Linked DNA regions of Alligator mississippiensis. The protein of the gene in region 2 purifies or fractionates together with the protein of the main gene of each other region. This does not show direct contact. Links are inferred from orthologs where the notes say so. Each region holds a gene or a part of one and is shown on either strand. Other genes may lie near its edges.

Evidence for each region.
Region 1: the proteins of CEP43 (region 2) and PPP2CB purify together in Homo sapiens (affinity purification with mass spectrometry; 4 studies listed by BioGRID and IntAct, counting the BioPlex papers as one, with this or other methods). This does not show direct contact. The link is inferred for Alligator mississippiensis from reciprocal best matches to the Homo sapiens genes CEP43 and PPP2CB.

What each region holds. Positions count from the first base shown.
Region 1 is NC_081825.1:168,614,460-168,621,770, reverse strand, and holds the start of PPP2CB (serine/threonine-protein phosphatase 2A catalytic subunit beta isoform), read left to right. Parts: upstream 1-4,308; 5' UTR 4,309-4,435; coding exon 4,436-4,537; intron 4,538-7,311.
Region 2 is NC_081824.1:144,063,263-144,071,254, reverse strand, and holds the start of CEP43 (centrosomal protein 43), read right to left. Parts: upstream 3,014-7,992; 5' UTR 2,739-3,013; coding exon 2,655-2,738; intron 1-2,654. UniProt on the Homo sapiens protein: Required for anchoring microtubules to the centrosomes. Required for ciliation.

The DNA of each region.
Region 1 (7,311 bases), on a different chromosome or scaffold from region 2:
GCTATTATACATGAGTTTTTCACTGGCAATTGGCTGAGAAGGATAGGACCTGAGTATACTAGTTGATTAGAGGATGATTATGACATGTCAGTGTGATGCAGCTGTGAAAAAGACAAATGTAACTTTGTAGATGTATCAGGAGGAATATTCTAGGAGAGAGAGAAAAGTGTTAACACTTATACAAAGCACTAGTAAGGCCTCATCTGGTATAATGTGTGTATTTCCAGAAAGATGCAGGCAAACTACCAAGTGCAAAGAATGGTTACTAGAATGATCAAGGGAATGAAGGAACTAATATGACAGAAGACCAGAAGAGCTTGACTTCCCTTCAGTGAAGCAAAGGCTGAGAGAGTACGATTGTTGTCTATAAATGCATCTGGTTGGACATCAGGGAGAAAGAAGAACTATTTAAGCTAGCCAACTATGCTAGAATAAAAATAAGTAGTTAAAAATAGCTATAAATAAATTTAGGCTGGAATAAAAACAAGTTTCCTTACCATTAGAGCAGTAAGATTCTGAAACAAATTTCCAATGGGTATAGTGGGGGGCAAAGGAAAATATCTACTTTAAAGATGGAGCTTAGTATGTTTATGAAGGGGATAATCATAGAGGGAGAAAAAATTATTTGGAGGACGGGGAGGGCTGAGCATGTGTGCAGACCATGGGGGAGCAGATTGAAGCCCCAGTGGTGAGGGAGGGAGTGGGGCAGAGGCTGGGATGAATGGGGCCCCAGTGGGGTTGGGTGGTGGGACAATCGGAACTTGGGCTGCTCGTCCAGGGGCGCAAGCGGGATCCTGTCATTGTGTGCACCTTGGTGCAGGCCCAGGTGGCATGTGCCCCCTCATCTATGTGCGGGGCAGAGGCAGCTGCCACTGAGTGCTGGGCTTTGCTCCTTGCTGCAGCTGCACTGGGAACAATGCGACACCATGTGCATCCACCCATGTCCCTGGATGTGCCGCCAGGCTCTGATTGTCCCACGACCCAGCCTGGCCAGGGCCCCATTCACCCCACCCCCTGTCCCTGCTCTACTCCCTCCCACACTGATCTGTTCGCCCCCCCCAACTCCTTCCCCTTCACAAAGGAAGTAGGCTGAAACTTGCCTGCTGTGCTGGGCAGCCACACACTGGGGCTGCGATCCTAGCTGCATATCTGAGTGTGCACATCCCTCTCCTCTCTGCTGCAGCAGCCCAGAGCCTGCATCTGGGCTGCCCTGAAGCCCTACCTGCTGCCTTGCGTTTGAGGGGGCTAAGCCCTATTAGCTCTGGCCTTCTACCACCTATGGAGATAATGTGAGAGGGCCTTGCAATGGCTGTGGGTTACACTCGGTGACACATGTCCTTTCAAGCACTATGTTTCCTAAAACAAGGGAGGAGGGAGTTGTGTGTATAAATGGTAGAGCACCTGTGGATGGAGGCCTTCTGACACACACACATGGATTCTGTCAACTACACCTTTGAGATGCTCTGAGGTACTCTTATACCTTCAGGTGTCTCCTTCAGCTCCAAACCCCTCTCTGGCATCTGCTGCTTGACTACTGGGACCACCCAAGGGTGCCTTAACTTTACCAATCTCACCCAGGTCCTATTAGCTCTTGGCTGAGGAAGTTTTGCCAGCTTAAGAATCATACTTATTATCTAGCATGTGCTTAGAAAATACTGACCCTCTCCTTTGGAGAAAAGACCTACCTGTTTGCTCAAATGCTCTGAACTCATAGTTACCACACAGACGGTAAGTTATAAAAGATAACAAAAAGATTTATTAGAAAAACAAATGAAAACAGAAGAATCAGTAACTGTATGCTGCATACAGACAGAGATATGAAAATAAACCAATAACTAAGATCTCTGATTTATTCTTTTCTCTGCATCTTAGCCCCTCCAGCTTCTACTTATGACCAAGCCAAAGTCTCTGCTAATCTGTGAGCTCATGTTGCCTAGCCCTAGGTCATGTTGGCCACAGGAGGGACCAGAGCACCCAATGCCTGAGAAACTTTAGTTGCCATGGCAACTCTTAAATACTTGTCCTTATCAGATGGTTTACACTTCTCTACTGAATTTTCAGGAAACATATATTGTGCATACAACTTCCTGCTTCTGGGTATCTGACTGGCAGGTTGGGTGTGATTCCTGATCTAACTATAACAAGGAAATACCAGATATGAAGACTGCTAATTCCATATCCTTGGTTTTCAATTACCTTAGTACATTATAAACTTTGTCTTATTCTCCCTACTGTGAGAAATACAAATCTTCCTATTAGATTGTTTTTAGGTGTTACCTTGGCTACTCTTCCCTTTAAAATGTCAGTTCATCTTTGGAATGGCCAGACGCAAGTGTCTGGGATTAGTCCACAAAGGCCTATCCGGCCAATGATTAAGCTTAGCCAACTCTGATGCAAATTCTTAGTCAACCCTTCCTAAGTAATACTATAAAAATATAAGAATACATTCATATCAAATACCATAATTCATACAAACATATGAATGACAAAAGCCAGGTACAGCTTCTCTCAAGTTATCTGTACATGCCATAAAGCAAATCTAATTCAGGAAAACATGCATGACGTTCCATGAACATTGGGGGTTTGTGACAGAGCTTAAATAGTTGCATTAGTATTGGGGTCTGTAGTGAGGATGCATGTATAAGAAATGGGGGGAGGAAAAATGCGTGTTATGGTTGGTGATGTACCTTGGGAGGAGAAATGGGCTGTGGAGCACACTTAGAGAAGAAAACTGACTTAGTGTAAAGGGATGTGTGGTGAGGCTATAGTTTAGGACAGAGTTGTCCAATTGGTAGCCCATGGGCTCTAACCAAGGCACAGCTCCCCCATCACTCCTGCTGCTGCTTCCGCTGCTACCACAGCTATGGCTATTGGGGGTCTCGGGGCTCCCCTCCAGCTTCTACTTCCTGCCACTTCCTCTAAACCTGGGAACTGGGCAGGGCAGCCTGCTGGGCCCACACAGTTGGGGGGCCTGGAGAGTCTGTACAGCATGAAGTCCTAAGCCACTCAGAAGTTGGACAGCCCTAGTTTGGGCATGGGGCTGTGGGTGGCAGAGAGGTGCATTGGTGTGTTTAGAGCAAGGGTGGCCAAAATTCAGACCACAGGTCAAATCCAGCCTGCCAAGGGATTTTGTCTGGCTCATGGCAGGTCTTTCAGCCCCTCCTGATCCAGGTGTGGGAGGAAGACTGGGCCATGGCTTATGTGGCCAGTTCTGCTGCCCCTGGGTGCACCGCAGGGCTGGGGCAGCACAGCAGCTGGACTCACTTCCCAGCAGCCCCTGCAGCAGCTGGATGCAGGTGGGGTCTCCACGGAAACCAGCCCGGACCTGTGTGGGCAGGGCAGGCTGCTGAGTGCATGTGATGGGGCTGCTGCCAGGCAGGGAGCATCCAGAACCAGGACCATAGGGTGCTCGCAGTGCAGGGGCAGAGCCAAGGGCAGAGCCACAAGCCACTGCCTGCATGTCCCTGCGATGGGGTCCCTGCGGTTCCCCAGGCAGAGGCATGCAGGGAGCAGATTACAGCTCTGCCCCAGGCCTGGGCCCTGACCCCGTGCTGCCGTGGCCCTGCAGTCCTGATCCCAGCCCCAGCCCTGCCCCCAGCCCGTCCTCCTCCCAGATGCTGTTCCCCACAGGGCAGCAGCCCCAGCCCATCTGCCCAGCCATGTGCCCTGTCTGCACGGGTCCTGGCCAGTCTCCATGGAGACCCTGGGCATGACAATGTGGGGCCAGGCCTGGGGCAGAGCCACGATCGGCAATCCGCTCCCCACATGCCCCTGCCCAGGGAACGGGTGCCCATGGTAGCGGTATGCAAGGAGCGGTCCCGGCTCTGCCGGGGGCCCTGGCCCCACACTGCCATCGCCCACCCATCGTGCTCCTGCTGGCTGCCGCTCCCTGCCTGCTTGCGGCCTGAACGCGGGGCAGAGCACTTAGGAAGCTTCGGTGAGCTGTGGCCGCGGGAGGGGGTGCCCACCAAAACTCCCAAAGAGGTCCTCCAGCCCAAATAATTGCCCACCACGGTGTGTTTAGAAGAGTCGTGGTGCGGGCGGAAGGGGCAGTAGGGCCCTTGATGGGTGCAGCGTGACATGAAGGGAAGGAGAGGTGCGGGGTCAGCTCTGCAGGTGGCAAAAGGACGACCGGTAGAGACCGCGGCCCAAGGTACAGCTGAGCCATTGCCCTGCGGGCTCCCTGGGCACAGGACGGGTCGGAGCGCGCGCATGCGCTTACGGAAGCGGCCTCTATCTCCTGCGCCGCCGCGGGCGGGCCGGAAAGTGCGCCGCGCCGGGCGGAGGAGGGGCCGGAAGTGCGCAGCGCGGCGGCAGCCATTACGCGGCGCGGGCCGAGACCGGGTGCGGAGCGGGCTTCGTGCCGCCGTCGTTGGCCGTGAGCGTTGGCTAGGCCTGGGCCGCGCGGGAGCCCGCGGCGGGCAGCGCCGCCGCCATGGAGGAGAAGGGCTTCGCCAAGGAGCTGGACCAGTGGATCGAGCAGCTCAATGAGTGCAAGCAGCTGAGCGAGAGCCAGGTCCGCAGCCTCTGCGAGAAGGTGAGTGCGGCCTTGCCCCGCCCCGACACTCCGCGCCGCTGCCGTTGGATCTGCGCGCCTGTGGGCCGGGTTCCCCCGCCGCTGCAGCGGGAGATCCGCGCTTCCTTCCCGGCCGGGGCAGCAGCACCCCCAGCCGCCAGCGCCGCGTCACCCCGCTGGAAGGGCATTCCCGCCCGAGCCGGCGGGGGCTGAGGGAGAAGCGCAGAGAGCCGCGGTCCGGCTTTGAGGGGCCGGGTACAGACGCGCGGTGCCCGGAGAAACAAGCTCAGGTGAGGACTGGATCCTGCCCTCGTCCCGATGCAAAAAACCCTCTAAACTCAGACATTCAGCACTGTGGCTCCACATCATGGCACGTCTCTTTCGCCTTGCCTGCTGTGTGGGTATGTCAGGATAGGGAGGCTCTTCTCCAGGTCCTCTGTGTGCGTTTCTCCCTGTGTCGCAGAAGGGGAGGCCAAGGCAAAGTGACATAGGTTAGCCAGCAGCTGAGCTGAGACTAGTCTCCAGGTCGTGTGAATGCAAGTCAGGTTCTGTCTACAGCACAGTGTTGCTCAAAAGAAATCAAAGAAACTTTTGCTAGGCAAGAGCCCAACTAAGGTACCCAAATGTCCTTAACTCTGTCAATGATACAGTGCGCTTGAGGTATTTAGAGGTCTGTGGCATAACATTTGCATAGAATTCATTTGTAGACATGTTTGTGCTGTCTTATACCCTCTGTTTATCACAGGCTACGTTGGAAAGCTGAGGCTGTTTGAGTACCCCAACTACCTTTTTAGTATCCTGTAGAGAAGAATGGGGGGTGCTTATTTCTGGGTCTCTCTGCCCTGGTTATTCAGGCCCTTCCAATGCTCCTGTGGTAGTCTGCATTGGAATCAACTCGGTAGTCCAAGCCAGCAGCCAGTAGTGAAACCTTTTAAAAGTCAGAGCTAAACGATCTTATGTGTGTCATTTTGGGGGGTTTTTAGGAAAGTTAAAACCAACAGAATTATTGCATACAACTGGCTATAAAGGAAAAATAGTTATGAGTTATCTTTTGTCACAATTGCTCTGTTGAAGGTTTAGGTGAATTAGTGTCAAAAGACCCTGTTTATGGCTTGTAAATCTTAGTAATTATGTACAATTGCTAATAGTTTAATTTTAATTTGTTGAGATATGCCTTATGCATGGGGCTTTTTAATTAATTAACCTTTTATATGGAAAGTTGATGGCTTGTTCTGTCAAAATTCATCTCCTCAAAGGTTACTGCCATAAGTGCCAAATTTCTTAAACCATTTACTTTTATTTAAATTGTATTGTGAGCAAAGCTTCAGAAAAATTATTTTGTCCTTGCGGTAAGCTTGAGCATGATATGATTTTTTTTTTTCTCCATAAGTAAGGTTTTGAATACCTGCTCAAAGTACAAAGAAAAATACTTGTGGTAATTAGGTTTCTTTAAACTTATCTTAATTTGTATATAACATTTACTTAAACTTTGAAAAATGTTTAATTACTATACTTTTATTTCTTTTCAGTTAATGGTGTTGACTAGTTCTCCCCACCAGGTCTATTGTCCTAAGACTGTGGTAGCCAACTAATGTTTAGTCTTGTAACTTAAAGCTAGGTAGATAAGGAATTTTTAATTGGATGATGACTAAGCCAAGTGAACAAAGTTCACATATAATTCAGGGGGAAATAACTTATAATTGTTAGAGTATTTCATCAACTTTTTTGGTCACCTCAACAGGGGTTGCAAACAGCCCATAGCATAATTTGACTATAATTTCTAGTTGAGGCTTGTAGTTACCTGCAAGACAAAATACTAATGAATAAATATTGGATGCTATAAAACTGCTTCCTGTGCTAGTTATGAAAAACAGGCTGAACTTTGGAGGCTTGTCTATCACTGGTGATATAAGAATCTTCCTTGGCATGGTAATAGTTATGGGGACAGAATTCTATTTCTGTGGTACCTTTAATTGTCTCTGTCTCTATGTGTCTCATGCAAGCAACTTTTGAGCCAACTGCTTAGACTTTCATGCCCTCACCTGTGGGGATATAGGATAGTATGACTCCAGTTGCCTTTAATTCTCTTTTATCCAAGTCGGTGATGGGGACTTAGTAATGTCCACTATGCTCGTTGACCTCACAAAATAGCTTTTAAATTCCATTTTAGTTCTTAACGTACTTCATAAATTGATATAGGTCTGTGAACAAATCTTAAGATTGGCAGTCTTTTGTGCCTGCAAACCAGTAATTAGGCAGTAGACATTCTTCATACTGGAATGAAATTTAATGGACGTAGAAACAAACATTTGTGGCAAAAGTAGGAACAACAAAAGGATGGAGTTCAATACTGACAAATGCAAGATGCTACATGTAGGGAAGAATAATCAAAAGCACAAATACAGAATGGGTGATAACTGGCTTGATGGTAGCCCTGGAAAGAGTAGGTTTTTTTGGCCCTGGTGGGTTACAGACTTGGTACGAGTCAGGATGTCACGCACTACAAAAAAATGCAATTTGGCTTGCAGCAACAGAAATATAGGGTGTAAGAAGGATGATAGTGCTACTCTATCTGGCACTGGTTAGGCCTCACCTAGAATGTACAGTTTTGGGCTCCACATTTTTAAAAAGGATATGTAGAAGGAAGGGTGGTGGGCAATAAAATGATAAATGGTTTGGAAGACAAGGTATACAAGGAAAGGTTGAGAGAACTAGGCATCTTTAACTTGCAGCAAAGGTGATTAAGGTGGGAGACATAGTCTTCAAATACCTTGAGTGCTGTTATAAAGAGGGAA
Region 2 (7,992 bases):
TTTGGCACAAAAAAAACTAGTTTCCAAACCACTAATGATTATTACCACCTCATTTAGTCTATGGTAGGACTAAGATTTCACTTAATCACCACAAGTCACTGTAGCAGACCAGCAATGACCCCAAGTGCCCTGTATTTCCCTCAGCTGCATTACTGGAGGCCTGTTACGGGTCCTACCTACTGCTCTTTGTTCTATTTTTCAGTCCTTCCATATTTTTCTTCTTGACAATTTCACATTGTCTACTTTAGCTAGATCACACCTATATCCAGATAATCTTCTTACGTATTTATTCTTATCAACCTCTAAACAACACTAAACAGATATCCTTCTAGGACTTGCTTCCTAGTTTTTACCTTCACCAGTTCCTAGAAACTAGTTTGCATTTCATCTGGCAGTACATAAACAACAACTGTCAAAGCATAACTTTCTCTCTCAACTTTGGCACCATAATAAAAGCTATTAATATGTACTAAAACTACAGAAAATAATATAATGAGCATCACTGTTTGACATTTGGCAGGAAAGAAAAGTATTCTTTCTCCTTATACCCATTAAGCCAGCTTCCATTTCAAGTTTGGGTTTTAAGTGACCGGGTTGCTTTTGAACAGTTCTTAAAAACAAAGGTTTACCAAAATCTGTCAGAGACCAAGAGAAGCAATATTGCTTCACCAGAACTACCAAAAGATTGAGCTTACTCCCAATTCAGATTATGGTTACTGGTTAGCTGGCCACTGAAAAGCTGTACGTCAATTGATTGGGAGCAAGAAAACTATGGGCAGAAGTTACCTCCCACTGTCAAAGGCAGGATATGCACAAAGTGGGTTGATCTAATAAAAGATATCAAATTCACCCAAGGAACCTTGTCTGGATATGCACAAAGGCATTTGGTCTGCTGCAGCATGACAAATCAATCTCATGTTCTCATGAAGTAGGTGCAGGAGGCCTTGCAAGTACAAGAAATAATTCAGGCAGTAGTATACACTATATATTTCTATGAAAGTTTCATTAATTTGTGGTCAGCCAAGGAATCCTTAATTGTGCTGTATTGGTTATAGCAAGTTTTCCGTGTTGAAGCACATTGCACATTTGAATTAAGCACAAGGAAAGAAAGCACAGGAAACCCAATAGAGGCAGCAGCCGGACTTCAGTAACTTCACTATAATCAATATTACTTATATAGGATCTACAAACTGTGCTTTTCACCTACCAATATGATGCAAGAAATGAAGCTGAGGACGCAACTGTTATGTGAAGTGGTAGAGGCAGCAAAGCATCAACAGGTGACTTCTGCTTAGCAGCATGGCACACAGCACAGCCTGCCACTGCTCTTCCAAACCAACAACTCCCCCTTGTTCCAACATGCTTGTCAACTTGAGCTTTTGCTAGCTGTCCACCTTCCTCCAAATCAGCAGCTCTCAACACACTTCAGGCCTCCCCCTCCCCCATCAGAAAAACACCACTTGTTCTGACTGCAGAGAAATGACAGGGCAGTTCTTGCACCACAGGGAACCCACAACAGGGCAGGACATTTTTACCAGGGGTGGGGGGAGGAAGCCTCTGGATTCACCCTGTGCCTTGTGCTGGCAGGGCTGTCCCAGCAGACCTGGTGGCACCCCGGGGAGGGGAAGAGATCACAGCTCTGAATAAATCCCCTCACTGACAACTCAGCCCCAGCTCATTTGGCGATGCAAGGTCCCGAGCTGGGCTGCAGAACAGCTCTTTGTCAGTGTTGCCAAGTGTATAATAATTATCGTATCTGTACAATTACAACCCATGTACAATGTAGGATCAATAACAGTAAGTGTTCAAAGTGTATGATAATTGTTGAGGCAGCTCACTGATGCAGCGTATACAAAACCCAGGTAACATTCAGGGTTTCTTAACTGACTTATGAGGTTTTGGTTTTTTTGTTTAATTTTCTGTAGTCCAAGCCAAATTAGTCAAAACAAATTCCAAATCTGAGAATTAGTCCAGAACCGTAAGTTGCCTTACTACTACCAAGCATCCTGCAACCCCATCTGGGGCTTCAGATGTTTCCAAAAATCTTTAGTGGGCATCCTACTTATTCGGATCCCCCTGAGTTTTGCTTGCCCTCAGCCGTAAAGCCCCTGGGGCAAGCCAGGGAGAAGTCTCCCATTTCCATAAAGCAGGCTTAAAGCCAAGACCTTCCTACTCCAGCAGCTAAGTGGGAGGTTTTGGGTCTACGTTAAGCACGTTATGACTGCTCACCTCAAAATAAGGAAACACCTAAATTTTGATGACCCAGTGCTCGGTGGCTCACAACAAACAACATAAAGTCAATAAGAAAGTGGCTTATCTGCATACTTACTTGCATTTGTTTTTCAGCACATGATAGTTTCTCCGCAAATGCGAGAATCGTGACCTTCCAAGACCATAATTTCCTATTTAAGACCTGGCAACGCTGCTCTCTGGGTCGGGCTAGAAAGGGACGGCTCGGATTTGGGGCTAACTCAGCGCGACCCTTCCCAACCCGCCCCTACTAGACGCCTCTCCGGTTGTGCCAGGACCGGGGCCCCCGCAGCCCCCTGCGCGGACCGGGCGGTCGCAGGCCCGGGCTGAGCCGCGCCGGTGCCGCTGGGCCAGGCTCTGTTCCCGCCGCGAGACCCGTCGGCTCCATGCCCCCCGCCGCGCACCTTGATCTTGTTGAGCACCCCGCTGCTCTCCAGCGTCTGCACCAGCAGGTCCCGCAGCTCCGTGTCCTCCTCCGCCGCCGCCATCTTGTTTCTCCCTGACAACCGCCCAAACCGCGCTAGCGGCCGCGTCGGCCCCGCACATTCGCTACGGGCCAGGGAGGCGGGGGACTGCAGGGGCAGCCGCGGTTGCGGATCGTAAAGCTGGCGGCCCGGCTACCGCATGGCCCAGCCGCCTGAAGAGGAGGATGAGCCCCACCGCAGGGACCGGACGGGACTGAAAGTGTAGATGCGAATGCGCAGCGCTAGCTTGACGCCATGAGGCGGGAGGTTTGAAGACAGGGGGCGGGGCTGGCTGCGAGGTCCCGCCCCCTAGAACTTGCCGCGTGACGCGCGCTCCTAACCATCCAGCAGTTAGCCAGAGCTTCAGTTACAGAGCGCAGAACGGGAGGGGAAGGGAGGACGCTGAGCCACGCCCCCCGTCCAGCCCCAGCCAATCGCTCCCAGCTGGGGGCGGAGCGGGATTACGTATGTCAGGCAGTTCATTGGTAGTGATGTTGCCAGGCGGACTGTCATTATCATCGTTATCAGAGTTTCAACGCGCTCAGGTAGGCTGGTTAATAGTAAAAGTGTACAAACTAGAGGTCTTGGCTCCAAAATGATACCTTTTATTAGACCAACTGGAAAATGGCAAGAAAATTGTCCTTTTCCCCCTGAAAAATGTACGATAATTTTTGAGGCAGCTCACTGATGCAGCAAATGCAAAACCCAAATCACTCTCCAGGAGTCTTGACCGACTTTTGGGTTTGCTCTTTTTTGGGGGGGGTGGAAATCTACATCTATATATGGATATATCTATATCGTATAGCTATATTGATATAGAGATATATACATAGCTATATATATTTATATCATAGCTATATTGACATAAATATATATAGATATATATACATCATCTAGCATAAAACTTTCCATCACACACTTTAAACCACATTAAGAAGCAGTGTACCCATCACAACAAATGATCCTGTACCCCCCCGCACCCAAGGCCGGGCCAAGGGTAATTGTGCACCTCAGTGCCCCCCCACTTCCAATATAGAGGAAAATAAGAAGTCTAAAATGAACTTTTACCTCTGAGATCTTTTCAGAGGGCTTTATCCCCTTACCGAGCCACAGGTCTTAGACCAAGGTGGAGCTGTAGCTAGCCAGAGCTGCTATTTAGAATGATGTTCCTGTTATTTTGTTCTGGATATATTTTGGTGCTCCCTCAAATTTTGGTACCCTAGGTGACCGCCTAGTTTGCCTAATGGTTGGACCAGCTCTGCCCACACCCACCCGCTGCCCTTCCCTAACCCAATCGCAGTCCTGTAGTCCAAGCCCCGATTTAGGTTTACATTCTCAGTCATTCCCTATCCTTGTCTCTGTTGATATCACTGTCACTGCTGCTGCTGAACCTGTTGCTGTCTTCCTCACTGTCCTGGGGTCCAGTTGTGTCATTGTCCTTTTCTTTCTGTCCTCTTCCCTTCCCAGGGGGGTCTTTGAACAGGTTGTGCCAAGCATCTCTTTTCCAGGTGGAGTTAGCTGTGTCTTCTCCATCCTCTCCCACTGTTTTCTGGTAGTAGGACTGATGTTTGCTCAGAAACATTTTAACACAGTCTGTTTCGGTGTGTCTGTACTTTGCTGCAGGACACAAACTGGTTGAAACGGGTTGTCGAGGGCCCCTGCTGTTCAGACAGATGTACAGTGCTGCCTCATTTTTGGGTTTGCTCTCTGCACTTTCTTATGATGCTTGCCTCAAAATAAAGCAATGCTTCAAGTTCGCACTCAGTCACTGGCAAGTTACAGTGAACAATATAAAGTAAACAAGAAGACTGATTTGCATCCTTATTTACGTATTTTTCAGTGTACGGTAGTTTTTCAGCAAATAAGATAATTTTGAGCTTCCAATAGGATAATTTTATACTTAAGACCTGGCAAGGCTAAGTTAATGGCTGAACCCTGCCTTAACTAGAAACAAGCACAAGACAAAGTGATGCTTGCGCCATTCACTGGTTAGTGGAGACCAGCTAGGCTGTAATTGCCACCTGATAAAAATGATTTTCCAGCTAGAAAAAAGAGCCAAGTGGCTCTACACTTTGTGCCTAAAAAATGGGTCGCAGCTGTACAGCTGGTTTCTGTCCAGCCTTGCTTTGAAGGCACAGCAGGGCGCTGCAGCCTTGAGTTGGCAGAGGAAAAGCACTGGGCCTTCCCACTGGGGAAAAAGGGTGGTTTATCTGTGGGTGAAGTGACACGCTACCCTTGGGGCCTCTTTACACATGCAGGTTTAGGCCCTATGGACTCTAATGAGACACCTTATGAGGCACACAGGGAGGGCAGTGTTGTCTCCGCTGTGAGCCCTGCAGCTGAGGAGGCTCACGGCAAGGACAGTGCCAGGAATGCTGCCACCACTGACTGCGAGCCTTGGTAGCAGGTGGTGCACCCCTGTGGCTGGGAGCCCCTTGGTTGATGGGGCTCCCAGACACAGGGGCTACATGGTCAATTAATGGTCTGATTAGAACAAGATATAAAGTTATTACACATTTTTTAGCTTGTTTATTGCTTGTTTTATCACACCATTAATTGAAAACGTGTAGCTGGGTTGCATCTTAAGACATGATTAAGTGATTAATCATGCCTGAAGTATAACGTGTAGAGGAGGCCTTAGACCAGGGGTGAGCAAAATGGCAGATCTTGCCAGCAGCCAGACTCTATTTCCCAGCAGCCCCTACCCATGTCACTGCAGCTGTTTTCCATGGAGACCCTAGTAGAGGGGGCACCTTGGCAGTGCCCAGCCAGGGTTTCCATGGAGCCCAGCCCCAGCAGTGCTGGAAGGGCATGCAGCTGGGTGGGGAGCTGCTCTGGGGCTGGGGCTGAGATTTTGCAGTGCTGACTGTGTGGTCTGGAGCTCAGCACTGTCTGCACACTCCAGCCCGAAGCGTGTGGGCAGTGGATTGCAGCTCTGCCCCAGCTCTGGACCACACTGTCACCACTGCAAGATCCCAGCCCCAAAGCAGCTCCCCACCCAGCTGCACACTCTGCCAGCACTAGTGGGTCCAGTCTCCATGGAAACCCTGGCGCTGCACGGTCACTGTGCCGCAGCTCCTAGGGTCTCCATGGAGACCGGGCACAGCGATGCAGGCAGGGGCTGCTGGGAAATGGAGTCCACTGCTGGAACAGTCCAGCCCAAAGGCTGGATTTTGCCCACTCCTGTCTTAGACTGTGCTACATTTGTGGGACGTGAAATAATGCTAAAGTTAGAAAGCTGCGAGCAGCTGCATGTTAAGGGTTAATACTGTTTCCTGCCTGTACAGCTCTGACTTTGTGGCTACAGGGCTGGTGAGCAGGGATGTGGCTACCCCATCAGGGCTCTATCCCTGCTCTAGGTAGGTGGGGGTGCTGGAAGTGGTACATTTGGGGATGATAGAGGACTGCAAATTGTTCGTATTATCTCAGCAGAGCAGGCTGAAGTTACCCTAGGTAGTGTGGTCCAGAGTTAATGCCTGAAGTGGCATCACTTTGAGATGCTCAGAGGACACTTAGCATGAGTTAATGAGCTTTAATGTGTAGACTCATGTTTTAAGTGTCCTTAATATGGTCGAAATCAGGGGCTGGCAACATTTTTGGGCAGAGTGCCAAAAATATACAACCTCCATTTGTAAAATGTTGGAGTGCCAGGGGTGGGTGGCAGGGGAGCTGTGAGGGGCCCAATCCTTGTTTGGCAGCACAGGCCTGGCCACTTCCCTGCTGTCTGCCCTGAGCTGCATGTGCCAAGCAAAATGCCTTCACGTGCCACACTTTGGCATCCATGCCAAGGGTTGCTTATGCCTGCTCTAAGTTTAATCTGCAACTTCACTCTGTGACACCTCCTCTTCCCCTGCACTGCTTTGTCCAGCGTGGCAGGTAGGGCTACTGGCTAGAAGGGTGCCTTGGGGTTGGTTGCTTTTATGTACGTATTTATTTGGCACCAAAATGAAACAGACTTTCACAAAGTTTCTAAAAGTGTCATGTTTTGGAGTCTGGCTGAGAGATGGGGGAGACAGGTGTTAAAAAAAATCACTATCACACCTTAAAAGTTTCTCTCTGTTTTGACTGCTGTGCTGCTGCCACTCCCCTTCCCTCCACTAGGTGGGGAAGCTGCAGAGCTTGGGGGCAGGGAGCACATGCCAAACAATGGGAAGCCCAATAGTCAAAGCTGAACGTGAACAATACTTAACAAATGCCATCAGACCAAATCCTGTTCTCCTTAATTAGAGGGGCCATGATTTCTTAGGATGGTATCTTTTATTGGACCAACTGCATAGTTGGGATAGAGTTGGCAAGCTTAGATAGAGTTAAACTTGAATAGAGTTAGACCTTTGGATGGAGTTAGACAGGGTTTGAATTACACTTAGACTTTGTTTAGCGGGGGGGGGGGGGGGGGGTCTGCAGTGGTGGCAGCTGGAAGGAGCCGCCACCGCCTCTGCCACCTGGGCTGCTTAGAAAGGCGCAGGGCTAGCCAAGGGCTGACTGGTGGTTCTTGCTTCTTATTGTGGTGGGAGGTTCCTCATCTCTTATGAGGGGACTCAGCCGCCCCTTCCTGCCCAAGCTACCCCATAATACGAACTCTGGAGTTAGACTAGAAGAAGAATGTCTTGCAGTCAAATGCTTGTCTAACTCTATCCCAACTATGCAGTTGGTCCAATAAAAGATATCACACTTAGAAGTCATTGCCTTTCATATAATTCCTGGACCATCCGCTACAACTTCACTCTAACACTCCTTAATTGGCAAAGTAATTACAAGATTACTTGTGTGTTGTGGGCAACGCTAATGGAGGACAGCTGTTAGGATGCTATCCAACACCCTTGGAAGTTATACTAAGCACACATGCAGCAAAAGGAGGGGGGCGATGACTTAAGTTCTGGATACAGTTTTAGTCAATATTTGCAGCTGTTTCAAAAAGAGAGAGAGAGACAGACAAGGGTTACTCTAAAAATGTTCATGTTTGTCAAAAATATTCCTAAAAAAAGATAGGGAACTGAGTGGTTTCGATGAAATTATGCCTGGAACATTTAGTTGTTTTGTAGATGACCAAAACTGTTTTATCTATCTTATGAGCTTTATGCAGATTGATTAGTTAATAGTTGCATGTTGTCTTGAAAACAGAAAGCATTATAAAAGCATTAACTGTAAATGCAACTGACATTTAAATACCGTTCAGGACATGATGCATATTTTCAGTATATCGTTTTAAAGATATCTTTGGATCTCCTTTGCACTGAAAAGTATAGGAATGCAGGGAGAATCCTCCTAGGAAAGTCAA